Caenorhabditis elegans: one gene and its partners. The protein of the gene in region 1 purifies or fractionates together with the protein of each later gene. This does not show direct contact. Each region holds a gene or a part of one and is shown on either strand. Other genes may lie near its edges. The genes, in order: acs-4, hpo-8 and paqr-2.

Region 1 (6,110 bases):
TGTCTGCGTTTTCTAATGTGCATCTTCACGAATCATGCTTTCAAATTCATTTTGTGCTCTTTCTTTGTACGATGCTCCGTCATTTTGTGCTCTTTTATCAATAACATAATCAAGTGTTAAGAAGATGAACTGATTAAGTGAAAGTTGTATGACGACTGTAGACAAACCCGTCGTTTACGTTGCAGAAATGAGTTATTTTACTTGTCGAAATGATTCTGAATTCAGTTTTACATAACCGAGTTCAACACGTTGTTGATGAGATATTATTTACTCTACTTTTTGTATGATATTACCCCATTTCAATCAATACACTGTCCTAATCCCTCCACCAAGAGTACCCTGTCACCCAATACGCAACCACAGGGTTTCAGTCGCGTATCTCCTCGGTGGCGTGTAATTAGATTTAAAACGGCTGACGAATATCTTGACAATATGAATAATTCTAGTATTTCTCTAACTGTTTCCATTTAGATTGAATGTCCAACTATTATAGATGATTTTCTAGGAAAACCGCGTTCTCAAAATTTAATTTCCTTTTTCTACAGCCCATCCTTATGATTCATCACAAAAAATAGTTTTCCCAGACGTTCATTTTAACATTTTCTCGCTGTTGTTTTTTTTCTGATTTAGGCAAGCATTTCTGAAAATAAGGCTTACTTAACATTTAAATGTATAAACTTATGTAACTCGAATGTAACAATTATTCTTAAAGCTTGTTGGTCCTCTTGAGGTCAAAAGTGGTGCCATATCCGAATCTCGCGCCATGTTCTGAGTTGCTTTCTCTGTTTTGTCTCTACTCGTGTGCGCAGAAAGACCTCCGCTTCCAACTCAGCGTTCATCTATGCATTCCTAGCATTGTCTGCGTCTCACGACTGCGCGGAATAGATGGGGAGTGAGGGGAGCCGCTCCTATGTTTAAAAAAACTGAGAGAACAGAGTGGAAGAAGAGGGAGGAAGAGGAAAAGAATACGGGCGTGTGCAGTTTTCCTCCTCTTTCTCTTTTCCTGTGAAGAACTGCGATGTTGCCACGCAGAATGTAGAAGGAGACGTCATTTGTTTCGGACAGTTCTTTTTTCCATTCGAAATTTTTACGGTGAAAATTGTGAACACGATACATCTTCCGCATGTTCTTAATTGTTACCGCGAACGACATTTCACTGATTTGATAACGCAAAACACCTGATAATGATATTATTTTTACTGATGCTGATAAGACGAGGAATTGTTTTCGTCCAGAGATTGAAGGCTGTTAACTTTACAACAATAACTGTCTAAGACTTTTTTTTTTAATTTTAACATTTTACAATAATCAAACTACGATTTAAAACTCGTGGTGACTTTTCATGCCGGAATTATTTTGAGGTTTTTTCCTTATCAGCACGATTTTCCGTTTTCCCTTTTTTCTGCTTTTGCAGTCCGAAACGAAACACCTCCAACTTTATAAAAATGATGCTATCAAGAGTTCCGTCAAAGACATAATGTAGTTTCCTCTTTTTCATCGGCAGCTAACCATAATAATGTTTAAAAAGAACGTCGCAAAAACTGCAACAATTATTGGACTTTTTGATGTAAGACAAATAGGCTGCACTCTGAACGGGAGAAGATGAGAAAAAAAATTGTCAAATATTTGCACAGAAATATATTTTCCCTTCTTGCATTATTCTCGCAATTCTCGTAATTTTTTGTCTAGCAATTTTGCTCATCGTGAATTAAAAATTGTTCTTTATGTTCCCAAAACTGTAGAAATGCTGCTTCTGTATACATATCATATTATATACATTCTCTATTCCATGCGTCACGGTCTTGTACATTCTTCCCATTTTTCTTTAGAATAATCTCTTCTAATTTTCGTTATTTACAGATGAAACGGAAAGTTTCGGTATACGATTCTTCAAAGGATAAGACACTCGGCCAGGTTCGTGTTTTTGTTTAGGACATTTTACGATTTTTTGTTTGAAAGTTTCCAACAAGTTCTATTTTCAGGTAGTGAAAGGTGAATCACCAATATGGATTCGTGTAGCTATGGCCATCCTTCGTGTGTGGTTTTTCATATACGATTGTCTCAACTACTTGCCATACCAGTTGTTCAATTCGCCAACGGAAAAGCTTCGGAAGTCGGAGCGAGTAAAGGTTTGTCAATACTTTTAATATTAATTTATCCGTATTATCTGTTTCAGGCAAATTGGGTTGACGATCGTGATGGACCAATCCGTAATATTCAAGGACATGCTTCAGAAACATTCCCAGGAAAAGACACAGTTGATAAGGTAGGCAAGTGTGCAAAGATCTGCATTGCAGAATTCGATAAAAGCTGAAGTAGCACATTTCATGCTTTAAATTTTAGGTTTGGAGAAAGTGCGTCGAACTCTACGATGAATCGCCATGTTTGGGAACTCGACAGCTTATTGAAGTTCACGAAGATAAACAACCTGGAGGCCGTGTGTTTGAGAAGTGGCATCTTGGAGAGTATGTGTGGCAGAGCTACAAAGAAGTTGAAACTCAAGTCGCCCGCCTCGCAGCCGGTATCAAGGATCTTGCCCATGAAGAACAAAATCCGAAAGTTGTTATCTTTGCTGAAACTCGTGCAGATTGGCTCATCACTGCTCTTGCCTGTTTCCGTGCCAACGTCACCATCGTAACTGTATACGCAACTTTGGGAGAAGACGCAATTGCTCATGCCATCGGAGAGACTGAAGCTACAATTCTTGTCACTTCTTCGGAACTTCTTCCAAAGATTGTAACGCTTGGAAAGAAATGTCCAACTCTGAAGACCCTGATTTATTTCGCTCCTGTGGACCAGAAAGCACCAGCACCAGAGCTTGCACCGTTCCGTGATCAGTTCAAACATGTTCTATCACTGAGCGGACTTCTTACTCGCAATCAGGAACAAGTTAAAGAATCTACAGCTGTGAAGTCAGACATTGCCCTCATCATGTACACTTCTGGCACAACTGGTCAGCCAAAAGGAGTTATTCTTCTTCATCAAAACGTTGTGGCTGCTTTGTTGGGACAAGGGGATGGTGTTGGAATCATATGCAATGCAGATACATACATTGGGTATCTTCCACTTGCTCATATTCTCGAATTGGATGCCGAATTGACATGTTTGACTAAAGGAGCCAAGGTAAGAATTTTTATTGGATTTAAAACTCATTTTACCCATTTATTTTAAGGTTGGATATTCTTCACCCTTGACACTTCACGACCGTGCATCAAAAATCCAAAAGGGAACACATGGAGATTGTCATGCCCTCCGCCCAACTCTTATGGCTGCTGTTCCAGCTATTATGGATCGAATTTTCAAGGCCGTCTCCGAAGAAGTTGCTGCATCACCTCGTTTCATGCAAGAATTGTTCAAACTTAATTATGAGAGAAAGAGATCCCGCTATTTGGAGGGTTACTGCAGTCCATTCCTTGATCGCATCGTATTCAAAAAGATTCGCAGACTTTTGGGAGGAAAACTTCGTGGTGTTTTGTCTGGTGGAGCCCCATTGAACGCTGAAACTCAAAGATTCATGAATATTTGTATGTGCTGCCCTGTTGTTCAAGGATACGGACTCACAGAAACTTGTGGAGCTGCTTGTGTTGCTGATATCAACGACTTGAGCACAGGAACCGTTGGTCCCCCAGTCAGATGCTCAGATATTGCTCTTCGTGAGTGGTCCGAAGGTGGATACTCACCATTCAATGATCCACCACAAGGAGAGATTCTTATTTCTGGAGAAAACATCTCACCTGGATATTATAAACAACCAGAAAAGACCGCTGAAGATTTCATCACCTATAAAGGAAAAGTGTACTTTGCCACTGGAGATATTGGACAGAAGCGTGATGATGGTTCTCTTCTCATTATTGACAGAAAGAAGGATTTGGTTAAATTGCAACACGGAGAATATGTTTCTCTCGCTAAAGTTGAATGTGCACTTCTCAATTGCCCAATTGTTGATAACATCTGCGTTTATGGAAGTGGAATGGAAGACAGTGTTGTTGCTCTTGTGGTTCCAAACCAGAAGCACTTGGAGAAGATTGCTGAAGCGGAAGGTGTATCAACTAGTGAAATGAAGACGATGTGTGAAGATAAGAAGGTCATTGCTGCCTACAAGAAACAACTCGAAGAACATGCCAAGAAAAGTTAGTTTTGAGAAATTATGAACGTTCTAATGTTTAAAATAATTAAATTGTGGTTCCCTAAAAATGTATATTGTTTCAGGCAAACTTTCCCGCTCTGAAATCCCAGCCGCGATTCATCTTTGCCCCGAGATTTGGACTCCTGACACTGGCCTTCTTACCGAAGCACTCAAGCTGAAGAGAAAGCCTATCCAAATGGCCTACCAGAAGACCCTCGATGATCTGTATAAGCAGCTCAAAAAGAATTGATTCATGTCTTCCTAGCTTTCTTTTTTTCTTTTCCCGCCCTTTTCACACTGGTAACTTGCTCTTCCCCACCTATTCGAGATACTCGATATTGGATTCCCATCTCTTTTGTATACTTCCCTCATTTATAGCAGCATAATCTGTTAGCTTTCATACCGGAAGCTTTAGGTTTCATTCCTATTCTGTAAAGATTCGTGTTTCATGCTACTCTTTCCCGTATTCTCCTTCCCTTTCCACCATCAAAGAGCTTTTCTAACTTGTTTTTCACACATCGTACCTATTCGTAACTTATTCTTTCTAGAGCCCCTGATTCCTTTTCCCCAAACATCCAAACGCTTTATATTTTGGTCGCCCCTGAAAATTAGGTAGATTGTTTTCAAAAATGAAAATGCTGACAACATTTTTGTTTTTCAATGAAATCCATCGAGATTTCAAGGGTGTTAAGATAGATTTTCAATTTTTACAAATTCATTCGATCAATAGTTTGTTTTTGCCAAATGGGTTGTTCCTTTCACACCGACACAGAAATACACACATTTTCCCCCATCTTTTTCTATTTATCTCGTCCCTTCTCCCCAAAACATCTATTTGATTCCATCCTTGTATTGTCACACACAGATGTGAAATAAAAAAGATTGATAAATGATCTTCTGTACTGAATCTACACACTAGTCGTTGATCGACCATCTTTCAACGTCATTGGTTCGAAGATGAGCGATTCCTGTGACGCCTAGAACAAGAATAGACAAAACAAAGAAGAAATCTTCATTTGAAGATCAATATATCTTTTTTGGAACATATACAACACTTACTATTCTATCGAGATATTTTGGTGGATTATTGATTGATGATCCAATAAATTTATCAGCTGCAAGAGGGGCTCTAATGACAGTTTGTTTTGAAATTGATTTTTCATTTTAATTGGAATAAATCATGCAGGTTAATTTCAAACGGAAGAGTAATTTTATATTACTTGTGAGCTTTAAACTTACTTTTTCAGGCGAGAGTTTTCACGTAGAAGTAGAAAATTGAAGAAGCCTTGATTGACTGGAATTTTTAGTCCTCATCTTTCCTTTATCTTTTAAACTGAAAATTTGATAATTATTGTACACATTTTTAATGTTGGGATAAAACCTTTAAAAAATAAAGGTAATGTTATGATTGGTAAATGGTAAATGTTATGAAAATGCCGTCTTCTTCCTTAGTTTTTGAAATTTCCCTCTTCATAACATTCCATAATCAGTGACTGCAAATATCAAAACCCACAATTTTAGAAAAACAGAAAATTTATTTTTTGAATTTCAATAATTTCCGAAATCAAATCTTTCACGTATGCATAAAAGTGCTTGCCTGTGTGCCTCCAAGGCAGGCATAACTTTTTGTGGCGCATATTGACCAGACAATTCAGATTCTGTGCGGTTTCTGATAGTCACATTTCAAATTAGCACTCTTTCTTGATTGAATATAAGAGTTACAGAATCATTTGCAGCACGGAGAACAAAAGATATGAGCAAATCAACAACTGAACCAGATTCATCTGGCTTTGAACTTCTTTCTAATTGTACTACGGTAAGTAACCCACTGCAAATATCCTTGAAATTAAACTATACAAGCACAAATGATTTCATTTCATCCAGTATATCGAGTTGCTCAAATCTATCAATTTTTGGTTGCCTGTTTCGCATTTCCCCCATTGTTTTATTTCATATTTTTCAAACTTATCAAATCGAGTTTTCA
Region 2 (4,245 bases), on another chromosome or scaffold:
ATGCCCAGCCCGTTCTTCTGTCATGGCCGTCAACCGCCGCGTCGCTGTCAATCGAAATGTTGCCCGCAACCGTGTTGTTGTCCGTCACCGTATCGCAGCTCGCCGCCGTGTTGCCGTTCAACGCAGAGCTCGCGTTCACGCACAGGCCGTCTAAGCAACAGTCATTGTTTAATAAATATTCAGCATACAATTTTTGATAATTTCATATATGTACATTAGCGAACAATTGGAATTCTAGATATAATCAAAGCAAGATGAGCAAACACAGCATTTCGATTCTCTTTTATAACTTCGTCTAGAAGACCTTCTTCACTGGATAGAACATCCTGAAATAAAGAGAAAAAATAATGGAATAAGTTGTTTTGAATTACCTTAAAGAATACTTTGAGTTCTTCAATTTTCTTATTTTGAGCCTTGTGAGAATCAATTGTCGCTTTCCTTGTCTGTTGTTCTCTCAGAAGCTGATCTTCAAGAAGTGACGTCATTTTTTGGCACTTGTCTGAGTTTTGAAGAGCTTCGTCTAGCTATAAGTTATTATTTTGCTATATTTATTTCAAAAGTTTCAACACTTACTTTACTATTCAATTCATTCTCAATTTGAATATATTTCTCGAGAGTAGTTTTTCGTTTATTCTCCGATTCTTCCAGTCGTCTCTTACTATCTTTCAATGCCTTTTCAGTCTGGAAAAGACTAAATAAAAAAGTTAGGAAGGAAATAACTCACAGTCTGGCCACTCTTTTCCAAAAGACTCCGTAATTTTAAATTCTCTTCTTCACGTTCCTGAGTTTTTCCTATTTCTTGCGTCAATTCGGATTGTTTCTCCTCGAGCATTTGCTCCATTCGTAACATATCTTGCTTCTTTCTGGTAAGTTCTAATTCCAAATGTTCAATTACTTGATTATTCATCAGAGTGTGACCTTTGCTCTCCAGACTTGCTTCAATACGGATCTCAGCAACAGCTTGCTCGAACTCGGCGCTCAAATCTGCACGAGCTCTGGAATTTTCATTTAATTCTCTAGATGATTTGCGACGTGACAATATAAAAGTACGAGACTTTAGTGGTCGAAAAGGACCAAGTATTTCTTTTAAACAACCAGATGCTAAATGAGTCTGCATATTTTTTTTTCAGAAAATGCAATTTCCATAGCTTGGCAAACTCGGTAACTCCTGATATTAAAGACAATTTTTTGGAACACAAAAAACGATACTTGTGTTGGTTTAGTAGGTTTTAGGAACTGAAATATATATTTTTGACTAATAATTTTTGTTGCAAAATTTTAGGGAGCCGTTCAGGCGTGTAGGCTCTAGGCAGACGCAGACAAATAGGCACGAAGGCGAGCCCATCTACCATCGTAACCCCTCAATTTATACAATTTTTTGAAACCTACTGCTCAATAGCTGCAATTTTGACGCTTCTTTCTTCTGCTTCTTTTCTTCGAATTGTCTCTTCCTGTTCATCAACGACACCTTGTAGAGAATTCAGTTTTGCACCCATCTCAATGATTTCTAGCTCGATACGATGCTGGTTTCCCAGTTGTGTATCTAAAAATTTTGAAAAAGTTTTTAATTCTACTTTCACTATTCTCTTTTCGGCCTACCCATAATGCTCATTTCACTCTTTAACTTTTCAATTTGCTCTTTCAATTTCTTCTCTTCTAATTCAGAATTATCTCTATGAATTTTAAACATTCTATCTGATTCTTTTCTCTGTTCTTCCAACATTTCTTCCAAACGAGCAGTCTGAAACAATGCTCGTTCTTTGCCTTTTTCTCTAATTCCTCTCTTACCTCTTCGTCTTTCTCTTCAACCAATTTTTTCAGATAAATAATCACATCGTTCGACTCGAATGTTAAATTTGTCAACTGATTCTCGGTCGCCTCATTTGTTACTATCATTTCTGCGATTTTTTCCTGAATGAAGCATAAAATTTAAAGTAATTTTGATAATATTTTCAAAAATTAAAACCACCTGCAGTAACTCTAACTGTTCCTCGAGAGGTTTTTCATCAGAATCCTGGCGTTGTTTAGAAATCATAGTTGTGAGTAACTAAAGTAATACGTAAAAGAACTCAGAATGTCTAGAGTTCAGATCAGTCAGCCATAAAATTTCAATTTCCGTCCATGGTGCAACAACTAATTTCCTGCGTTTGCTTAAATATAAATAAGTCTTCTTTAGTTTCAAAATTACATTTAATATTTTAATACAAGAACAAAAAAAACTGCTTCAAGTTCCTGTTCCTGTTCCACAAAAAATTATTTTTTAAACTGTCCCCAAAAACGCCCTGATGTAGATTTACGATAAACAAAGCGCGAAGGGTTATTTCGGAGTGTTGTAGTCAAGAAAAATGTTTCTTAAGAATTAAAATTTTAAAAATTATTTTCTTTCATTTTCTTAATTTAAGTGATTTATTTCTAGATTTTTTGATTAATTTCCAATTAAAAAACTGAAGTCTTCAATTTTTATTAAAAATAAATAACCTCGCTCTCATAATTTTTCTGAAAAACTAAGAAATTTACATTTTTCCTGTATCAACCAAGATATCGTATGAAGATTTATATATTTTCAATTAAACTTTCGAATTTTACCAATGTTTTACATTACATAAAATGTCCCATTTTATGTTTTCGCTAAATGTTTCTTCAAACTCCCCGCAAGTTGACTGATAACGTTTCTGTTGTACATCACTCCATTCTACCCTTTCATCTTTTTTTTCGTGTGGCGTGATATACTTTTCTCATTTTCTTTTCTTTGCATTGCCTAAAATCCTTATTTTTGCAGGGTAACAATGAGCGTTCAGACGTATCTGGTTGCGTACAACGTGTTACAAATTTTAGGGTACGTTTTTTTTTCTGAAAGAAGTTCACTATAATTTTAATAATTTAAATTAATTTCAGATGGTCTGCAATTCTTGTGAAAACAGTTCTTGGACTCGCTAATGGCTTGACATGGCCACAACTTTACGAATCGGTGGAATTTGAGCTTAAAATCTTCCAAACCGCAGCTATTCTCGAGGTTAGCTTTGTTGAAATTGAAAAACTTTTAAAGAAATTATCATATTCAGGTCATTCACGCAATTGTCGGACTTGTTCGTTCACCAGTTGGAACTACCGCAATGCAAGTAACATCTCGCGTCGTCCTTGTCTGGCCAATCCTCCACTTGTGCTCAACAGTGAGTTGGAATTTTTTATCTTAAACTTGAATAAATTAAACCAATTTTTAGGCTCGCTTCAGTATCGGAGTTCCACTTCTTCTTGTTGCCTGGTCCGTAACAGAGGTCATCCGGTACTCGTTCTATGCACTCAGCGTATTGAAACAACCAATCCCATATTTCCTTCTCTACCTCAGGTATTTTGAGATTCTGGGGATCAATGCTATAACTCAACTATTTTAATTACAGATACACCCTCTTCTACGTTCTCTACCCAATGGGAGTCTCCGGAGAGCTTCTGACGTTGTTCGCTTCATTAAATGAAGTTGATGAGAAGAAAATCCTTACCCTCGAGATGCCAAACCGTCTCAACATGGGAATCTCCTTCTGGTGGGTGCTCATCATTGCTGCTCTCAGCTACATTCCCGGATTCCCACAACTTTACTTCTACATGATCGGTCAAAGAAAGAAGATTCTCGGCGGAGGAAGCAAGAAGAAGCAGTAAAGAAAAATTCTACGTGTATTTATATTACAGTGTATTCTAGATTAATTGCAACCAATCAAAATTCAACTTTATTCATAAATTATTCTCCCGTAATGTCTTCTAAAAAAACAGTCACCCGAAAATCAGGATGGTGGCGTCATTTGAGCAAGAGCTTCGGCCTTTGCCAAATAATTCTGGTATAAATAATAACACCAATATATGAGATTCAGAAAACAAAACGACAATGGAAATGCTTTTCTGCAGAATTTGTCGACATTTTGTGCAGTCCATTTGGTATTTTCGTCATCGTCATCCGTGAGGAGTCCTGGAAAAGTAATATTTAGAGAATAAACGATGCACAAATTTATTTAAAAGTACCGAATTGTGCGAGAGCGTGCAAAGATTCGAACATATTGTTCGCTTGTCGAGAAATTGAAATTTTATGGCTTGTAGTCCCGTTCTGCTAAAAGATAATACATTTAAAATAATAAAAAAAATCAATAATCTCACTGAAAAAGGCTCATCATAATTGCTCCTCAAGTCGCTCTCTGCTGCATTTGCATTGGTTACTGTAGTTGCACCATAGTTATTTTTCTTTCTGTCTTTTTTTCT
Region 3 (7,344 bases), 1.8 Mb from region 1:
AGATCTTCTTTTTGTTTCATTGGGTTTTACGCATTTTTCAACTGTTGCTAATAAAAATGTTCAACAATATTTTCTGCTTTTCAACTTTTTAAATTTTTTTTCGGAATGCTGGTCTCACTGTCCAGTTCTATTACTTCTTTTTCTTAGCCAGTTTGATTTTTTTTCCAATTTTTTTTACTTAGATGCCTGCTGTGTGGTGCTCCTTGCATGATGTGTTGTGGTGTAATTTTGGTACGTTTTTAATGAAGAAAATGGCTATATTAAAGGCGCAGACACTTCTCTCAAAACTAAATCGGTGTCTACGTTTTGAATCTTTTTATTATTATCTTATTTGAGAATTGCTCGAATTTCAGTAAAATATCCAAATGTGTGCCTACCAAGTTCCACCACTGCGACCTGAAGGAGGTCCACGTGGCAAGGAGCCGCAGTCGTGGCTCGAGGATTATTTGGAAGGAAAGGACGAGATTCTGCTATACATAACTGCCGCTTTGGGAGTTCTGATGCCGGGATTTGTCTATCTGCTCTATCGCAAGTGCCATGCATATTATGAACGTTATTCAAAGGTTGGTAATAGTGGAAAACAAAATCAACAAAAATCTGGTCTCGCCACGACTTCCAATTTCTTTCAGAAAAAAGAAGAAGAACGACTTGCCGAGGAACTTGCCGAATCAGAAGCCGTCGTAATAGTTCTAGGAAAAGAAGACGGGCTCGCAGCTCCGTGGGCCAAGGTGATTCACGACAAGCTTTGTGATGAAATGGTCCGAAAACCGATGATTTGGTGGTCAGACTCTTTGGATGTGAAGGAGTTAATGGCCTTCAAGGGATTTTGTATTTTTATCTCTGAAACTACGGCTGGTGGTCAGCCGACACCCTCGACAGAATGGTTTTTGGAATGGCTTGAGGATCTCGCAGCGGACTCGAAGCTTAGAAAGAAGGCGAATTTCGAGAAAATCAGATTTTCAATTGTTGGCTTCGGAAGCAGTGATGATGGGCCAGCTGGGTTCAATAAAGTCGCCAGAACTTTGCTGAAACGAATGAAAATCTTGGGAGCTAGGCAAATTACTGAAGTCGAACTTTTCAATACAACTGACACTGGTATCATACCGTAATAATGATTATTGTTAAAATGTTGAGTTTCAGATAAGCAAACTATGGAGCGATTTGTGGAATTTTCGTTCGAACTCCTTTTGCAAATGGATAAGCATCTTCCTGGAATGAGTGGTGAAGACACCGAAGAATCGGAAGTTGGAGACGATAGATCTGAGAGCTCTTCGGATGATAATGAAGTCGAAGAGAAACATAAGAAGTCGAAATAAAATTTGAATATAAATATTTATATTTTAATAATTGTTTATATATCGAGCTTTAATTGAATTTTCCTGCATTTTAAAGATATTTTGTATATTTGTATTATTTTTTCAACATTTTTCATAAATAAATTCGCTTTTTTTAAAGAATATTGGTGACTGCCAAAATAATAAGAAAACATTAATTTTTGAGAAAGTAAATATTGATCCAAATTACCGTAGTGTAGTTTTAAAGGCGCATGTCATTTCCAGGACGGGTCTCGGCACGGGCTCTAAAGTTTAGCTGTTTCCGTTGCTTCTTGTAAATAATTGGAGTTTTTTTTTGCATATTTCGAAGCATTAAAAAATTAGAATGAGTTTGATCAGTGCTGAAAACTAGAAATCTACGAAAACCTTTTTGTAAAAGAACTCAAAAAAAAGTTTAGAAGCAAAATACCGTAACGAGTTGTTAAAGGCACATACCACTTCCACTTTGGGTCTCATCACGAATATCAATTGTGTCTTTTTCGTTTATCTTTTGTTAATTTTTAGCGAAGTTTTGTGGTTTTTCAGGTGTTTTCTTCATTTAAAACATTAAAATCCTCAATTTTCGATAACTTAAATTGAAAACTATTTAAAAATTATATGAAAAATTGCCTTCGAATCTTTTTTTCATGGAAAATTCGCGTAACTTCCCAAATTTTTTTCCGCCGATTTTTCCGCCATTTCTTCGAACACGTCTTGGAGCTTTACATCGGGAAACACAAAAAATCTGTTTTAACTTGAAAGCTCGTTGAAAATACTCAACAAATTTTTCAGAAACTCATATTTTAAACAAGGAAGTCATAATTTCACTACATTGGATCCAATTCATGCAGGAGTACTTTGACCTCTTCTGAGTCTCCGGTCAGCAAATGCGCTTCCCCGCACCAACACACATTCCAGCAGCACGAGTCGCCCTCTTGTCTCATAAGCTTTCTTGAGAAAACGGAGAAAACTTTGCGCTTTTGGTTTGTATGTGTGAGCAAAAGCTTTTTAATCAATATCCGCTTTATTCTCTCACAGTTCCGATTTTATTTGATTTTTTTCTGGAATTTCTTATATTCTCGGTTGAAAAAAATTTTAAAAACTAAAATTCAGCTTTAACAAAATGGAGGAAGATGACGTGGAATCGGCAACACCGGCGGAATCGCAAAAACTTTTGCAAAAAAGCGTTCGAAATTCGTTTGACGAGGTAATCTATTTCACGTGATCTATTCTATGAAAAAAGAAAAAAAACACAGTTTTTAGTTTTAATTTATTACATTTCAGAGAGATATGGTGATGGTGTTGGACAATGATGAATTAATTATGGAAAATCGGAATAGCAGTAATCTACAAAGCCCATTGCGGAGTGTTACTGTACGTTTTTTGTTGGGTTGAAAGAGATTAGCATATGATTATTGATTTTTGTTGTCGGTGAGTGGTGGCTGGAGCTAGAAGTTTTAAGAAATTCTCACTGTTTGGAGATGTTTTTTTGAAGAAAAAGTGTTTTCAAAGAAATGGTAATTTTCCACTATTTCAGATCTTCTATTTTCAAAAAAAAATTGAAATTTTTTCTCGGTATTTAAAGCTGTAGCTGTATAAAAATTTTAAAGTTTCTGAAGTTTAGGTTTTTTCAGATATACAAAAAAAAATTAACGGCATTATTTTTGAATTTCCTGCAAACCAATAAAAACAAATAGTGAGAATTTTTCTGAAACCTTTTCCTATTTTTTTAGTGGTCAGTTACCGCTAATTCTTATTTAATATTAAAAAAGCTAGAATATCATTCTTCAAGCTCCAGCCAGCCACTTCGTGTTTTCATATTTATCACTGCTTGCCCTCATATGACAAATGTTATTTTTACGGTGATCAGAAATCAAATTTTGAAAAATTGAAAAGTGCATTGCAGGATGTGCTCCGAGAGGCAGAAAATATTATCACTGACGGACCGCTGCAGTTGGCTGATACACAAGAGAATCAGAATGTGATTGTTGATCAAGTCGATGTTCAATTGTAAATAATCATCAGATTTTTTTTTCTTCCAAAAAAACATTGTTTCAGTCCGAATAGTCAGCCATCAGATGGTCAACGATTTGAGATTATTGTTCGTCATAGTAAGGTTGTTGAACAGCCTGCAAGTCAGCAAAGAGACGAATCAATGTATGTGACAAGGCAGAATAGGCTTCCAACTTTGCTTGAAGGTAAGGTTATTGAAAAAAATGATTTTTTTTTAAAGTGCGAAAAATACTTTAATATTTCGCATAACATGCTTTTTGTATTTGAACCGATTTTTGATATTCATTTCATAGTTCATTCCCACAAATTCTTCTTGAGAAGTATTAAAATTCGTCCATAAAAATGGAATTTTTGAAGAAATGTTTCTAATTAAAAAATTCACACATTTACATTATTTATGATGTTCCAAATAAAAATCTAAACCAATTTTTTCAAAAATTATCGATTTATCCAATTTAATTCCCATAAAGGTTAGAGTTCAAGAAAAAAAGGCTTTTAAATGTAAAAAAATCGATTTTTAAAAATGTTCAATAAAAACAAAACAAAATATTTCTTTTGAGCTTTTGATATTAAAGCAAAACCAAACAAAAAATAAGAGTTTTGCGCAATTTATGAGAACATTTTCAAAAAAAAATTTTTTTTTACTATTTGTTTACAGTGTAACGAAATAAACCAAAAATCGCATCATTTACACCGATCTCTCGTTTAATAAATTAGTGAATTAAAAGTTAAATTTCCAACCAAAAAAAAACTTGTTGACCGTCACCTCAAATTAATTTTAGGTGACAGGAAGTGTTCTCATTCGTTTTTTTCAAAAATACTTCCCTCCTTTCACTAAACTACACTATTACTAAATGATTTCTATAGGAATCGAAATTGACAATGGAGATGTCCCATCAACGTCTAAAGCAGCCGCATTACCATTCAAAAAAGGACATCGTCGAGCATGGAGTATGCCGAATGCAAAAGGAGAAAAGATGACAGTTGCAGTTATTCATGATAATCATGAAGAAGGTGGAAATCAGCATCGTCGACGAATTGTCAAATACAAATTACATCCACAACGTCGGGGACACGAAGATGGAAAACATTTGAGATTTGTTACTGCTGGACATGATGCGGAGATTCATTTGGATCATAGTGATGATGATGATGAGCTTGAAGTTGAGATTAATGAAGAAGAAGTTATTATTCCTAGCGAAACTGGAGAAGGACCAAGAGCTGTTATCAAGAGGGTGAGGGAAAACTCCAGTGAGATAATTGCAAAATTGCAACAAAAAAAAGCAAAAAATGCAGCGATAAATGTTAATTGGCGGCAATTTTGCTTTAAACAAATTATGTAGAGAAAAACATTTCTAATAAGTTTTGAAAATTCACGAATCTCCGAAAATGTTTGATTTGGTTTTTCTTTCTATTAAAAGTTTTCTGATTACATTCAAAATTTTCTTTGTACTAGGAGCCAAAAAATTTTGCACACATGTGAGCTATTGATAAGAAAATTTTCAAAAATATACATTTTTGATAAGTTTCTACATATTTTTTGCAAGACAATTACTTGAAATTATGAGAAATCTTAAAGAATAATTTTTTGGTTAAAAAAAACGATTAAAGTTAAAAAAAAAATATTACAAAATTATTTTCAGTTCTGGGAAGCCCGCTGGAAGGCAACAAATTTCGAAACTCTACCCGAATGGCTTCAAGATAACGAATACCTCCGTACAGGACATCGTCCTCCACTTCCATCGTTCAGTAGCTGCTTCAAGAGTATTTTTGCATTGCACACTGAAACAGGAAACATTTGGACTCATATGTATGGATGTGTTGCGTTCTTCGGTATCGGAATATGGTTTCTGACTCGTCCCCATGATCAAATGCAATGGGTGGAGAAATTGATCTACTCGGCGTTTTTCCTCGGTGCAGTGATATGTCTTGGAATGTCATTCCTTTTTCATACGGTTGCATGCCATTCTATTGAAATGGCTAAACTGTTCAGTAAACTCGATTACACTGGGATTTCCTTACTCATCGTTGGATCATTTGTTCCGTGGATCTATTTTGCATTCTACTGTAGACCTCAACCAATGATAATATACAACGGAATGATTATTATACTTGGAATCGCTGCAATGGTCGTCTCGCTTTGGGATAAATTCGCGGAGCCCAAATTCCGGCCTGTACGAGCAGCAGTTTTCATAGCAATGGGCCTATCGGCTGTGGTCCCAGCATTTCATTTACTTGTAGTTGACGGTGTTCATTATATGGTTGAGGAGTCACAAGTTCATTTGATGATTATGATGGGAGCCATGTATATTGGTGGTGCAACACTCTATGCGACACGTGTACCTGAGAGATGTTTCCCTGGAAAGTGCGATATTTGGGTATGTGGTTTCAAAAAAACTAGCAATTGGAGAAAAATATAAAAATATATATTTTCAATTCTCGGTTTTCCGGAAAACCAGACAACATAACTTTAAAGATTTTAAACCACATTTTGCAAAAGAAAATTTACGAAAATACGAAAAAGACTCAAAAAATAAAAGCTAAACAATCTTTTTTACTCAAAAAAAAACTAATAACGTTTATTTTTTCAGTTCCAATCGCATCAACTCTTTCACACATTTGTCGTGCTCGCCGCTTTTGTTCATTATCACGCGATCTCCCAAATGGGAATGCATAAGCTCATGAAAGGATCCTGCCCGGATCAACTGAAAACTCGTTACGGTAACGAGTTGAATCCTTCCTTCGTTGGCACTTTGCTTGGGCTCGACGAGCCACTCAATGTCAGAGACTGGACACCGGCGGATGTTGGTTTATGAGGTAGATTTGTTTCCAATTTTTTATTTTTAAAAAATTTATAATTTTCAGAAACCTCTGCACAATATGTATAGTTGCGTATATATGCTCTTCTTGAAGCTGCTACAACCCTCTTCATACTATCCTTTTTCTGCTCATTTTCACCATTTTTTTTTCCATTTTCTTTCAAATTACCTGGTTCCCCTTCCCCACGCTCCTCAACTATCTGTCGAAACATTCTCAGCTAAAATTCCAATGTGATAAATTCTATACACTCCTTTTTTCATTTTATTCCCCCTTTTCGTTCCGTTTTCTTCCATTGAAATTAGTTTTCTTATTATTCTTTTCTTGTTTTCGCGTTCTCCTTCATTTTCTCGGAACCAGATTTGGTTTTTTTAAACTTTAACATTGAACTTTTCGAGCTTTGTTTTTTTTTTCTTTTTCGTATTTTATGAATTTCATTTTACTGTGTAGCCCATTATTCTATTTTCGTGTGAGTGTAGTCGTCTAGGCGATTTAAAATAAAATTTTCGATTTTTTTTTGTGATTTTTCGAACAATTCATGAAGTCGGCATAATTACCAAGCGCTAGTGTCTGTAAAATAGCGGAAATTTAAGAGTTTTAGCGAAACATTCACGAAATCACATATCTTGCAATTTCTCATCAGTTTTCTACAGAAAAAACTCGTAGTTCCACACCATGCAGGTGAAAATCTAGCAAAATCACCCTTTTTCTTCATTTTACTTGAAATTTGATCAGATTTTTGGTTTTTCAATGTTCTCAGGCGATCAGGAAGTGCTGAAATCTGAAATTGGTTTGAAGTCGATAATTTAAGGAATTTTATTAAACAATCTCGAGTACAGTAACTTGAAAGGCGCATCTACGAAAATAGGGATTAAATATTGTATCTCTGCGAGACCCACGCATACTATAGTAGAATGTCCCTTTAAATGGAGTACGGTACCAAAAGTAGACAAATTTTCAGATTTGTTTGTTTATTTTAGAATTTTTTGTTTTCAGCCCCAAAAAATTATTCCAGTGCCAGAGTTGTGTGTCACGCAGAGTCTCCGTTCTCTTCGTACACTTGTATGCATGTCTGCACCCTCTGCGGCTAGTTTGTTCTCTCACATTGTTCACTTGTTGCTCCTCAGTTTTTTATTCTATTTTTCTTTCTTTTTTCTTTCGGGTCGCCGCATTCTAACAATTTCTTGTCTCTGCTCTGATA

What was found.
Region 2: the proteins of acs-4 (region 1) and hpo-8 purify together in Caenorhabditis elegans (affinity purification with western blotting, with the first as the bait; one study listed by BioGRID). This does not show direct contact.
Region 3: the proteins of acs-4 (region 1) and paqr-2 purify together in Caenorhabditis elegans (affinity purification with western blotting; one study listed by BioGRID). This does not show direct contact.

The regions. Positions count from the first base shown.
Region 1 is NC_003281.10:7,165,978-7,172,087, forward strand, and holds acs-4 (long-chain-fatty-acid--CoA ligase), read left to right. Parts: upstream 1-1,860; coding exon 1,861-1,914; intron 1,915-1,982; coding exon 1,983-2,129; intron 2,130-2,176; coding exon 2,177-2,266; intron 2,267-2,343; coding exon 2,344-3,123; intron 3,124-3,172; coding exon 3,173-4,130; intron 4,131-4,209; coding exon 4,210-4,376; 3' UTR 4,377-5,013; downstream 5,014-6,110.
Region 2 is NC_003283.11:6,836,510-6,840,754, forward strand, and holds hpo-8 (Very-long-chain (3R)-3-hydroxyacyl-CoA dehydratase hpo-8), read left to right. Parts: upstream 1-2,779; 5' UTR 2,780-2,786; coding exon 2,787-2,836; intron 2,837-2,895; coding exon 2,896-3,013; intron 3,014-3,062; coding exon 3,063-3,170; intron 3,171-3,221; coding exon 3,222-3,346; intron 3,347-3,398; coding exon 3,399-3,654; 3' UTR 3,655-3,745; downstream 3,746-4,245. Other genes in the region: col-143 (Nematode cuticle collagen N-terminal domain-containing protein), read left to right, coding at 1-154; T15B7.15 (GRIP domain-containing protein), read right to left, coding at 216-326, 372-524, 574-681, 725-995, 1,390-1,543, 1,600-1,741, 1,789-1,911, 1,970-2,035; lgc-54 (Ligand-Gated ion Channel), read right to left, coding at 3,777-3,958, 4,012-4,096, 4,144-4,243. UniProt on the Caenorhabditis elegans protein: Catalyzes the third of the four reactions of the long-chain fatty acids elongation cycle. This endoplasmic reticulum-bound enzymatic process, allows the addition of two carbons to the chain of long- and very long-chain fatty acids/VLCFAs per cycle.
Region 3 is NC_003281.10:5,375,012-5,382,355, reverse strand, and holds paqr-2 (Adiponectin receptor protein), read left to right. Parts: upstream 1-2,426; 5' UTR 2,427-2,436; coding exon 2,437-2,520; intron 2,521-2,597; coding exon 2,598-2,687; intron 2,688-3,219; coding exon 3,220-3,323; intron 3,324-3,371; coding exon 3,372-3,511; intron 3,512-4,193; coding exon 4,194-4,561; intron 4,562-4,969; coding exon 4,970-5,704; intron 5,705-5,917; coding exon 5,918-6,142; 3' UTR 6,143-6,143; intron 6,144-6,191; 3' UTR 6,192-6,657; downstream 6,658-7,344. Other genes in the region: Y32H12A.6 (Flavodoxin-like domain-containing protein), read left to right, coding at 366-563, 630-1,095, 1,141-1,316.